Linked DNA regions of Tribolium castaneum. Each later gene encodes a partner of the first gene's protein in a complex. Links are inferred from orthologs where the notes say so. Each region holds a gene or a part of one and is shown in the gene's direction. Other genes may lie near its edges. The genes, in order: TfIIFalpha, Polr2B and Tfb5.

The links.
Region 2: TfIIFalpha (region 1) and Polr2B share a complex: the UniProt entries of both Homo sapiens proteins name them as parts of the TBP-based Pol II pre-initiation complex. The link is inferred for Tribolium castaneum from reciprocal best matches to the Homo sapiens genes GTF2F1 and POLR2B.
Region 3: TfIIFalpha (region 1) and Tfb5 share a complex: the UniProt entries of both Homo sapiens proteins name them as parts of the TBP-based Pol II pre-initiation complex. The link is inferred for Tribolium castaneum from reciprocal best matches to the Homo sapiens genes GTF2F1 and GTF2H5.

What each region holds. Positions count from the first base shown.
Region 1 is NC_087400.1:9,147,533-9,151,366, forward strand, and holds the start of TfIIFalpha (general transcription factor IIF subunit 1), read left to right. Parts: upstream 1-1,056; 5' UTR 1,057-1,186; coding exon 1,187-1,210; intron 1,211-1,265; coding exon 1,266-1,456; intron 1,457-3,834. UniProt on the Homo sapiens protein: TFIIF is a general transcription initiation factor that binds to RNA polymerase II and helps to recruit it to the initiation complex in collaboration with TFIIB. It promotes transcription elongation.
Region 2 is NC_087395.1:24,235,265-24,238,864, reverse strand, and holds the start of Polr2B (DNA-directed RNA polymerase II subunit RPB2), read left to right. Parts: upstream 1-1,210; 5' UTR 1,211-1,349; coding exon 1,350-1,368; intron 1,369-1,426; coding exon 1,427-3,585; intron 3,586-3,600. Other genes in the region: uncharacterized protein Rsod, read left to right, coding at 1-115, 165-720, 765-865. UniProt on the Homo sapiens protein: Catalytic core component of RNA polymerase II (Pol II), a DNA-dependent RNA polymerase which synthesizes mRNA precursors and many functional non-coding RNAs using the four ribonucleoside triphosphates as substrates.
Region 3 is NC_087399.1:6,497,713-6,501,076, reverse strand, and holds Tfb5 (general transcription factor IIH subunit 5), read left to right. Parts: upstream 1-1,147; 5' UTR 1,148-1,254; coding exon 1,255-1,289; exon of another isoform or gene 1,290-1,336; coding exon of another isoform or gene 1,337-1,718; intron 1,719-2,179; coding exon of another isoform or gene 2,180-2,406; exon of another isoform or gene 2,407-2,412; intron 2,413-2,433; coding exon 2,434-2,620; 3' UTR 2,621-2,705; downstream 2,706-3,364. Other genes in the region: hydroxyacyl-coenzyme A dehydrogenase, mitochondrial, read right to left, coding at 1-549, 604-717; meiotic nuclear division protein 1 homolog, read right to left, coding at 1,337-1,718, 2,180-2,406; heix (ubiA prenyltransferase domain-containing protein 1 homolog), read left to right, coding at 3,130-3,364. UniProt on the Homo sapiens protein: Component of the general transcription and DNA repair factor IIH (TFIIH) core complex, which is involved in general and transcription-coupled nucleotide excision repair (NER) of damaged DNA and, when complexed to CAK, in RNA transcription by RNA polymerase II.

The sequences.
Region 1 (3,834 bases):
CAGTCAGTCTGCCATCGAATTTTGAACTTCTTGAGTAAAAATGGTGAACAAATCTAACTTTTCTTTTAATCAATGGCACAATTTTATTGTATGTTTGGAAGTTTTTTCGACTAAAAATGAAACTATTGAGTTAGAATTCTGTTTTTTTGCGATTATTTCAAAAACTGTAAGAGATAGATCTATGAGATGTTAATAAGAGTAATAAGTGTAGCTCTAATAAAATTTTCATGCACTTCAAAAAAATAATAGCTAATGTAATTTATATTTTCGATGATTAACAATTATTTCGATGATTAATTATTATTTTACAATTTTATCAACCTTATTAAAAAAAATTATTCGGTAAAATGCGACGTTGGTGTTTTTACAGTTTTGAAACAGCTAATACCTACTTATTTAGTGAAGTAATAAAAAGGAAATTGACAAAAATTATTAAATATAGAAAATATCTAATCAGTTTGAGTTTTGGGATTATTATTTTACACAAAACCTTAAAATGTTTACGATCTTAGTCATACCTACATTTCATCATGTATTTCCTGTGGATATTTTTTATAAAATAATAGAGCAATATCGGATTATCAATTTCATCCGAATTGCTTTAAAGTTTTTGGAAGTATTTTGTATTATTAAAATTATTTTTGGAATTTATGAAATTGCTGGAATTATTTGCGGACTTTTGGAATAATTTGTGAATGACTGGAGTTTTTTGGAATTATTCGAGATTATTTGAATTCCTTAGGACTATTTGTAATTTCAGGAATTACCCACTAGGGAATTATGAAAATTACAGGAATTAATTTGGAGTTTATACAAATTATTGATATTTCGAAGTTTTTGGTTGATTTTTTGAAATTACTAGAATTTCTGTCGATTTTTTTTGGAATTAAAGTTAGTTGTACATTTTTTTTTAAATTAAAAGCTTCCCGGTTTTTATGGAATTTTATATTGTAATAAATGTTTCTGTTTGTTAATAAAAATTAGAAAACAATAAAAAAAATACAACTGACTCCACGGTTTTTGTCACGTTAGAAAGTATCTGCCCTAAGTATGGCACCTGTGTTACCGACATGGTGACCTAACCTCTAAACGAACTTGTTTGACAGCTGTTTTCTAAATAGGTCTATTTTTTAATTTGAGTTTAATTTAACTAATAAATTTTGCAATTAATTGTAATTTGGTTAAAATGGCGACAAGTTCAGCCGCCTCTGTACGTATAAAATAACAGTTTTAAGTTTTCACAAATTAATTTTATTCTGTTCAAGCAGAAGCAATCACAGGCCCCAGCCGGTGTTAAGGAGTATACAATCAAAGTACCGAAAAACGTCCAGAAGCGATACCATGTAATGAGATTTAATGGAAATCTTGAAGTGGATTTTGCCAAGTGGACGCAGGTCAAAATGGAAAGGGAGAATAATTTGAAAGAGTACAAAAGCGTCGAAGAAGAACAACCAAAGTAATACATAACATAACGCACTTAAATGATCACTGATAACAGCCCAACAAATTGCATAATAAAAAGTATCTAAAATTTATTAACAAACGTCAAGATGTCATGTCATGTCAAGATTAACAAATGTCAAAGATACGTCAAATTCATGGTCGCCTTCGATAAACCCATTGTCCGAAAATTAGTATTGTTTTTATTATTTTTTTAATTTATTTATCTACGTTTAACCTAATTAGTTTTCAAATGAAACAAACAAAAAACTAATACACAAAAGTTGTCATTTTAGCAAAATCTTAAAAAAATTCATATCTTCGTTATTATAAAAGATACACATTTGAAACAAAGATATTATACTGACACTTTTTTACAGAGAATTTAATGTTATCAGCAGTTTATTTTAACTTTTAGTTTAGCTGCAATAACATAAAGTTTTATTTTTTTAAATAGGAATCATAGGCGGCTGTGATATTTTTGAAAATACTATTTTTCTCTGATTTGATATATCTATTTGTGTAACACATTATTTTTAAATATTTAAAAAAATATAACATTCCGCTTTTTCTTTATAGTAGGCTATGAAAAAATTTTGGATTTTCAATTGAAACTGTGAAAAATATATTGCCCAACAAGTATTTATGATTTATTGATTTTTAAACATTTTTTACAGAGAATTTAATAATGTTATTAACGTTTTTTTTAATCATTAGTTTAGCTGTAATAACCAGTGTGAGGAAATTTTATGGGCGAAGGTTAGTGCATGGGCGCGCGCTTGCAGTCAGATAAACCTTTAAATCGAAATGTTGTGGAACAGCTTACATTGTTGATATAAGTTAGGAAAGAGTATTAAAAAATGTTTAGACAAAGAATTTTTTGTTTCAACCCTCGCGAAGGGGCTGAAAAGACGTTTTAGCTAAAAATTTGCAAACACCTAAACTTGGACACATTTTGCGTTTACATACTCACATCTTCCTTCTGGATAAAGCTAGAAACTCCGTTTTTTTGCAAACAAATTTTCAATAAATGCAGATTTATACGTAGTTTAACAAGGTAGAGTTTTGATAAAGGGAAACCAAAAAAAAAATACATTTTCTTGTAACGTTGCATAATTGTGTAGTGAAATTTTCGAGATGCGAGAAAGTTTTTTAATTTAAAAGATAGACTCCCACATAATCGAGACGAAATAAAGCTAATACTTGAAATCAATTTTTGGTGCAAGAATCATTTCGTTATCTGTAAGACTCACCAAGTTATTGCAATTTAAAATTACTGCAAAATGCGCCTGAGGTGAAACCGAAGCGTATTTCCCTCTGAAGCGTGTTCATCGCCTTTGACAACATTTCGAGAGCTAAAAATCGTAATTCGTAAATAATTAAAAAATAATTAATGTCACTTATCTATTAATATTATACCTTTACTTTTAACCGCCCTAACTCTCAGTTAATTTTAATAATATCTAAAAAGTCAAAAGAACATTTTTATCTCATGTACTTATTTAAAAAGCATATAAGTGACCCAGTAAAACTAAATTGTAAAATTGTAATTCATTTCAAAGTATTCTTTGGTGTGACATTAATATTTTTTTAATTATTTACCATTTTTAGCCCTTGAAATGTTTTCAACCACACCACGTTTCAAAGGGAAATACGCTGCGATTTCACCTCGAGCACATTTTGTAGATAACTAAATAATCCTTCTTTAAAGTCCTTTTTAAAAAAATATACAAATCGTAACGTTTCTGACGAATCAACAATTGTAGTTACACGCTGTGGTACTTGGTTAGAAGCAAATTTCTAAAAATTTTAATCAATTAAAATCATTTGTTTATTGCTTTAAACGACGATGCACAAAGCATTAAATAATGTAAAACTTTAGTTTTAACCACAAATTTAGTTTCTCAACTTAATTTTATTGAAAATAATTTTTGAAATATTCCAACTACGATCAAATTTCTAGAAACGTAAAATTTTAAATTATCCATTACAGTTGAGAAATTTGAGTCTACGTTGATAGAGTTAAAATCTGTAGAATGGTCATTACAAGATAAATTTAATGCAAAAATTGACGCAGTTGTTACTAGAAATCCCGATTTTCTAGTTTTAAAACAAATAGCGAATAATGTACCACCTTCGACATATTTTGCATTAGCACCAAACTTTTTATTTACTCCTGTAACCAGTTGTGATGTAGAAAGATCTTTTTCGAAATTCAAAGATATTTTAACCGCAAAACGGAATCAGTTTTCGAGAATTTAGAAAGAATCACAGTTATTCAAGCGTATTTCTCAGAGAAAATGATTAAAATATTTTTAATTAGTTTTTAATTTTAATTTCCACTGAATTAAAACGAAACATTTTCAAAATGTAATAGTGACTTACGCTCCACTG
Region 2 (3,600 bases), on another chromosome or scaffold:
CATTTACGTGAACCCAGTGGGCGTGGACGCGGCCGTCAAGACCCAGAACACGCGGTGTGTGGCCGGGGGCTACATCTGGAACCCCTATTTCACCCAACTGGCCGACCCCCTCAATGTATATTTTGCTTTTTTTTTAATTTTATAATATAATGTTCTGGTTTCAGGGTGATCTTTATCGGCAAGAGTGCGGGCCTGAGAACCCGCTCAGGTGCCACGTGGGGGACCTGTCGGCCCGTTTGGGGACCATCGACATCGGGCTCCAGCGCAAAGTCTTCACCGATGCGAATTTCCCGCTCGAAGGCGACGTCACGGCAATCGGGCGCTCCATCGTCATCATGAGCCCCAACAGACGTCCCGAACGTTACGCCTGTGCCAATATCGAGCCCGACTATGACATAATCAAGTACGCAAACATCGAAAAGCCCCCACGTTTTGTCCTGTCGCAGTTTATCGAAGAAGTGCGCGAAATTCTGGGAATCCCCGACTGGTTTTTGACCGTAGATTCGCGCAAAACCAAGTCTTTGCACAGCGACGCTTGCGTCCAGCTTTTGCTGCATTTTAAAGGACCGCTAGCTAACCGATTAGAGCAGGATTTCAGCCGATTGCTGGCAAGTGGGCGTTTAGACACCCCCACATTGTACATTCCAGGGTTTATTAATACGAAACGTAAGGTGAAAATTGCGTACAAGCAGTGTGGAGTACAAGACCCCAACGAGAAGAGTAAGTTTATGGATTAGGCGACAAAAAATGAGTGTATTTTGCAGGTAAAAAACGGACCGGATTTTTCTTTGCACGCTCAGGAAGCAACCCAGCCAAATTTGCTCACAGTCTGATTGTAGTGATAGTTTTAAGCTATTTATTGTAATGATATGACTGTTCCTAATAAAAAAGTAATATATTACCATGGAGTTTGAAATTTAGCGCCAATAATGAAGTCACGTGGTGCAATCCACAAAAAATCAAAAACGCAATATAATTAAAAAATTGGACTTGTTACCACTTACCTGACCTTTAAGTCACATTACAGATAATTATTAAATATTTTTTTGGTCGAATAGTGTAATTTAACATCGTATCTTGAAAATCTGGAGACTTTTTTGTTGTATGGTTACGTAACACTTCAAGGTCATTGCAGGAAAATAAAAAATTGGGCCGTATTTAACAAGTTTTTTATTTGTTTTCCAAAGTATTGTGTTTGGGGCTACCCCCCGAACATAAAATATTAATTTATTTCACAAAATAAGGGTTTTCTTGGGGTCCCCATACAAAGTCAACTGACACTTGACAGACGCTCAAAACTTGTGTTTTGTGCGTCTCATTTGTGCCCCATTTTTTGCAAATAATCAGCAATGTATGAACAAGACGAAGGTACGCAATCCCCCTTGAGTAGCCCCCGAGCCATTTGTAACAAAAACCGGCTTTTCAGACCAATTCGACGATGAAGAGTCTGAAGAAATCAGCTCCGAGTTGTGGCAAGAGGCCTGCTGGATCGTCATCAACGCCTATTTCGACGAAAAAGGCCTCGTCCGGCAACAACTGGACAGTTTCGACGAGTTTATCCAAATGTCGGTGCAACGAATCGTCGAAGACTCGCCCCAAATCGACCTCCAAGCCGAGGCACAGCACACAAGCGGCGAGCTTGAAAACCCCTCTCGGTATTTACTGAAATTCGAGCAGATCTACCTATCCAAACCGACCCATTGGGAGAAAGACGGCGCCCCCTCGCCCATGATGCCCAACGAGGCCCGCTTGCGCAACCTGACCTACTCGGCCCCCTTGTACGTCGATATCACCAAGACCATAGTCAAGGACGGCGAGGACCCCATTGAGACCCAGCACCAGAAAACCTTCATCGGGAAAATCCCGATTATGCTCCGATCCACGTACTGTCTCCTCAACGGTCTAACCGACCGCGACTTGACCGAACTCAACGAGTGCCCCCTTGACCCCGGCGGCTACTTCATCATCAACGGCTCAGAGAAAGTCCTAATCGCCCAGGAGAAAATGGCCACGAACACCGTCTACGTCTTCTCGATGAAAGACGGGAAATACGCCTTCAAATCCGAAATCCGCTCCTGTCTCGAGCACAGCTCGCGCCCCACGTCCACCCTCTGGGTCAACATGATGGCACGTGGGGGCCAGGCGATCAAAAAGGCCGCCATCGGGCAACGAATCATCGCGATCTTGCCCTACATCAAGCAGGAGATCCCCATCATGATCGTGTTCCGGGCCTTGGGGTTCGTGGCCGATCGGGACATCCTCGAGCACATTATTTACGACTTCGAAGACCCCGAGATGATGGAAATGGTGAAACCGTCCCTGGACGAAGCGTTCGTGATCCAGGAACAGAACATCGCACTCAACTTCATTGGGACCAGGGGGGCCCGGCCGGGCGTCACCAAAGAAAAGCGTATCAAATACGCGCGAGAGATCCTCCAGAAGGAGATGCTGCCCCACGTTGGAGTGTCCGATTTTTGCGAGACGAAAAAAGCCTACTTTTTGGGGTACATGGTGCACCGGTTGCTCCTGGCGGCTTTGGGGCGCCGCGAGCTGGACGATCGGGATCACTACGGTAACAAACGACTGGACTTGGCGGGGCCCCTGCTTGCGTTTTTGTTCCGTGGGTTGTTTAAAAACTTGATGAAGGAAGTACGGATGTATGCCCAGAAATTTATTGATCGGGGCAAAGACTTTAACCTCGACTTGGCCATTAAGACTAAGTTGATTACGGACGGGTTGAGGTATTCTCTGGCGACTGGTAACTGGGGGGACCAGAAGAAGGCCCACCAGGCCAGAGCCGGTGTCTCGCAGGTGTTGAACCGTTTGACTTTTGCCTCGACTTTGTCGCACTTGAGACGTGTTAATTCGCCCATTGGACGTGACGGGAAGTTGGCGAAGCCCCGACAGTTGCACAACACGCTCTGGGGGATGATTTGTCCGGCGGAGACACCAGAAGGGGCGGCTGTTGGTCTGGTGAAAAATCTGGCCCTCATGGCGTATATTTCGGTGGGGTCGCAACCCTCTCCAATTTTGGAGTTTTTGGAGGAGTGGTCGATGGAGAATTTGGAGGAGATTGCGCCGTCTGCCATAGCCAACGCGACCAAGATTTTTGTTAATGGTTGCTGGGTGGGAATTCACAGGGACCCCGAACAGTTGATGGCGACGTTACGCAAGTTGAGGAGACAGATGGATATTATTGTGTCGGAGGTTTCCATGATTCGGGATATTCGGGACCGGGAGATTCGCATTTACACGGATGCTGGACGGATTTGTCGGCCGTTACTAATCGTGGAAAATGGGACTTTATTGTTGAAGAAGCGCCACATTGATATGTTGAAAGAGAGGGAATATAATAACTACGGGTGGCAGGTTTTGGTGGCTTCAGGGGTTGTCGAATATATCGATACTTTGGAAGAGGAGACTGTGATGATTGCGATGTCTCCGGACGATTTGAGACAGGAGAAGGAATACGCGTATTGTACCACTTACACACATTGTGAGATCCATCCAGCTATGATTTTGGGTGTTTGTGCCAGTATTATACCCTTCCCGGATCACAACCAGAGTCCCAGAAACACATATCAAGTATTTGTTTTGGTG
Region 3 (3,364 bases), on another chromosome or scaffold:
TATATAGGGCACCAGAAGCCTGTTAACAATAAACCCGGGGGTGTCCTTGCAGGTGACGCAGGTCTTGCCCACGGCTTTGCCCCACGCCATAAAGGCCTCGTACGTCTCCTGCGACGTCTCCGGAGTCCTAACAACCTCCAAAAGCTTCATAACGGGCACGGGATTGAAAAAATGCAGCCCCCCGAACCTATCCTTCCTCTTCGTAACGGAGGCAATTTCGGTAATCGAGAGCGAGCTCGTATTTGACGCAAACATGGTTTTGGGGGGCGCGACCTCATCCAAATTTTTGAACAATTTGTGCTTAACATCCATGTTTTCAACAATCGCCTCCACGACCAAATCGCTGTCTTTCACAGCTTCGGCAATGTCGGTGCACCCCTTAATCCGGGCCTGCGATTCGCTCACGAATTTATTAGCGGCTTGCGGGTCATCCTTGTGGAGTTTTTTGGCGACTCGTACCAAGTTTTTCGCAATGCTGTCTTCGGCTTTTTTGATCAAGTCGGGGTTGACTTCCACGATGGTCACGTTGTGGCCGGTTTGCGCGGCCACCTAAGCAAGGGGGCGAATGTTAGGTTAGGTTCGGGTGGTTTGGGGTACACTTACTTGGGCGATGCCTGAGCCCATGAGGCCGCCCCCGATCACAGTTACGTTTTTTATAACTGCGTTCATGGGGCTTGAAGTTGAAAGGCTTCGCTTGATGAACAGGTTTAGGGCCATTTTTTCGCGTTCGGTTACGAGTAAAAAGTGGTGTGTAATGCGGATTTTGTTTGGTTTATTAACGATACAATAACTAGGTGAAAGTCCAAGTTTGTAACCTATGATCGACTCCCACCGCTACGTTTGTGTACTTTTTAATCATTTTATCGTTTATGGCGAGATTAGGGCTCAGAAGTGAAAATCATCGTGCCGATGGTTTAAAAATAATCCGCTTTCGATAACGAGTGCGACTTTTGTACCTGAATTTATTTAGGTATTATGTAATAAAAGTGCAACATCATTCAGTCAAGTGGTACACAGGAGGGTTCCAAAATGGGGCTATATAGCAATCCCTGTTATCAATTTATCCACTTTTTTCAAAGAAATACTTGAAAAAAAATATAATTTTGGGGAAATTTGTGATTATGCAATCAGCAATACACGTGTGAGAGGTTAGTTGCATTCTATAAGTTGTCAAATGTCATAAAAACACCAACTTTTGTAAGAAAAATAATTTATTTCTGATTTAAAAAAGTACACAATTCTCGATTATCAACAATGGTTAATGTAATGAAAGGCGTTTTGGTGACCTGGTAAGGCCCTAACAATTTTTTTGAGTTTTTGTTTGACATAACCTCAATCATGCCAGATAATCCAAATCTCCGGGAATCCCAAACTGCTTATTTAAAACCTTATCTTCCATCATAAACTTCCTTTTGCACCATGATTTGACCGCGAAGATATTATCAGTCCATCGATTTGCTGCTTCTTTTACCGGTTTTATCTCACTTTGCATTAATTTCAAATTTTGAGTATCTGTGTGAGATTTCGACAGAGATTCGAATTTTTCTTTCTGTTTTTCCAGTTTTTCAATTTCCTTCAAAATCTGGCTGTCGTCCCAATTCTCTTTCCCCACCTGCGCTTTTTCCATAGTTTCGTCAATTAATTTCAATTTTTTTGTTGACGATTCTAATTTCGTTTGAAGCTCGTTAAGTTTGCGTTTTTTCGCGTTAAGTAATTTGCTGTAATTAGGATAAAACGTGTTTTTGGCCCGTCTATACCGTTTTTCGGACACTCTCCCAGTTATCTCAGTGATCTCCGTTATTATAAGAGATACGAGGTCGGTTAAATTAGGGCAAAGTTGCGCATTTTTATGCTGAACAATTATTTGAAAAAAAAAATTGTAATTTTCGTTTTTATTTTTTCAAGTGAAAACCAAAAGAACTAGACGTAGGACTTTTTCGGGCACTTTTTACAAGGAATCTAAATTTGTCATCGGATTTTCCTAGGCTTGCTTGATGTCAGAGTTACAACACTTAACTTCGTTTTTTTTATGGGAAAAAAATAAAAACGAAAATCATTTTTTTAAATTTCTCTCAATAATTCAAAAACTAAAAATGGCACATAAAATTTTCTTTCAGAAATTGTTTTGCATACAAATGCACAACTTCTCAAAAAAACGGACACCCTGTATAATATTTACCTGGGAAAAGCCCAAAAGTAGACGGAACTCCCGATCTTATCCTTATCAACAGAACCATCATCCACCAAAGCTTGGACCACTTCTTTCACAGAATTCGCCGTAATTCCTTTCTCCTTTGGCGCAATTATTTCCAATTCATTCATTTGATAAAAATCCCCAGTCTCGTGAAACAATTGCAACATCCTAGCCTTTTTCTCCTCAAAACTTAGACCTTTTTTCTTGAACATTTTCCCCTAAAAAATGCGTTGTTTCAGTGACCAGGCCATGAAACAATTCCTTTTGTATTTAGATGAGACTACAAAACTAGGCCGAAAATTCATAATTCAGGACTTGGATGAAAACCACTTATTTATTTCAGCCGATATTTTAGAGACATTACAGGCAAAAATCGACGATCTGATGGACCAAATTAGCTTCCCAGTCGCCGAAAAAAGCAATTAATTTTTTGTAATTTGCAAAAGTGAGGTTATGTCATATTGATGTGTGGTCATTCGAATTATAAATAAAAAGCGCAGCATTTATATAATGACGTGTTTTGCTATAAATAATATCGTTGCGGGCCGGTTTTCGTCCATACTTACGCAATAAGGCACTAATTAACTGTTTTTTCAAATTGTCGGTACAAATAATACAGTTCCCTGTAAATTGGAAGTGGCTACAATTACGCTTCTTTGATAACCGACTATTCTACAGTTGTTACGCCATCACGAACATTTTTACACACAAATGATAAGAATAGAATTAAGCAATAGATAACGGAAACGTGTCACTAATTATAATTTTTCCCTGATTTAATAGCCGCCGTGACGTAACCACAGCCACATGTCAAACGTCACAATTGACTTCTTTGGTTATGTTCCGTTTGTCAAAGTTATAAAACGAAAAAACGCGTTTCTCGGCCACAAATCATCAAGTGTGTTAAGTTCCGTGTCAGTGCATTTACCCCCATCATGACGGTGCCCACCCCCAGCGAGAAACTCCTCACCAATGGCTCCACCACTCCCAAGCGCCAAAACGGCCAAAAATCGGGCCTCATGAAGCTATCAAGTTACGTGCTAGCCTTGCGTCCGTGGTCCCTCAGTGCCAGTCTCATGCCCACACTGTTGGGCTCCACCATAGCGTACAAATACCCCGGAGTTACCGATTTCAACTACGCCACCCTCCTGCTCACAATTTTCACCGTGG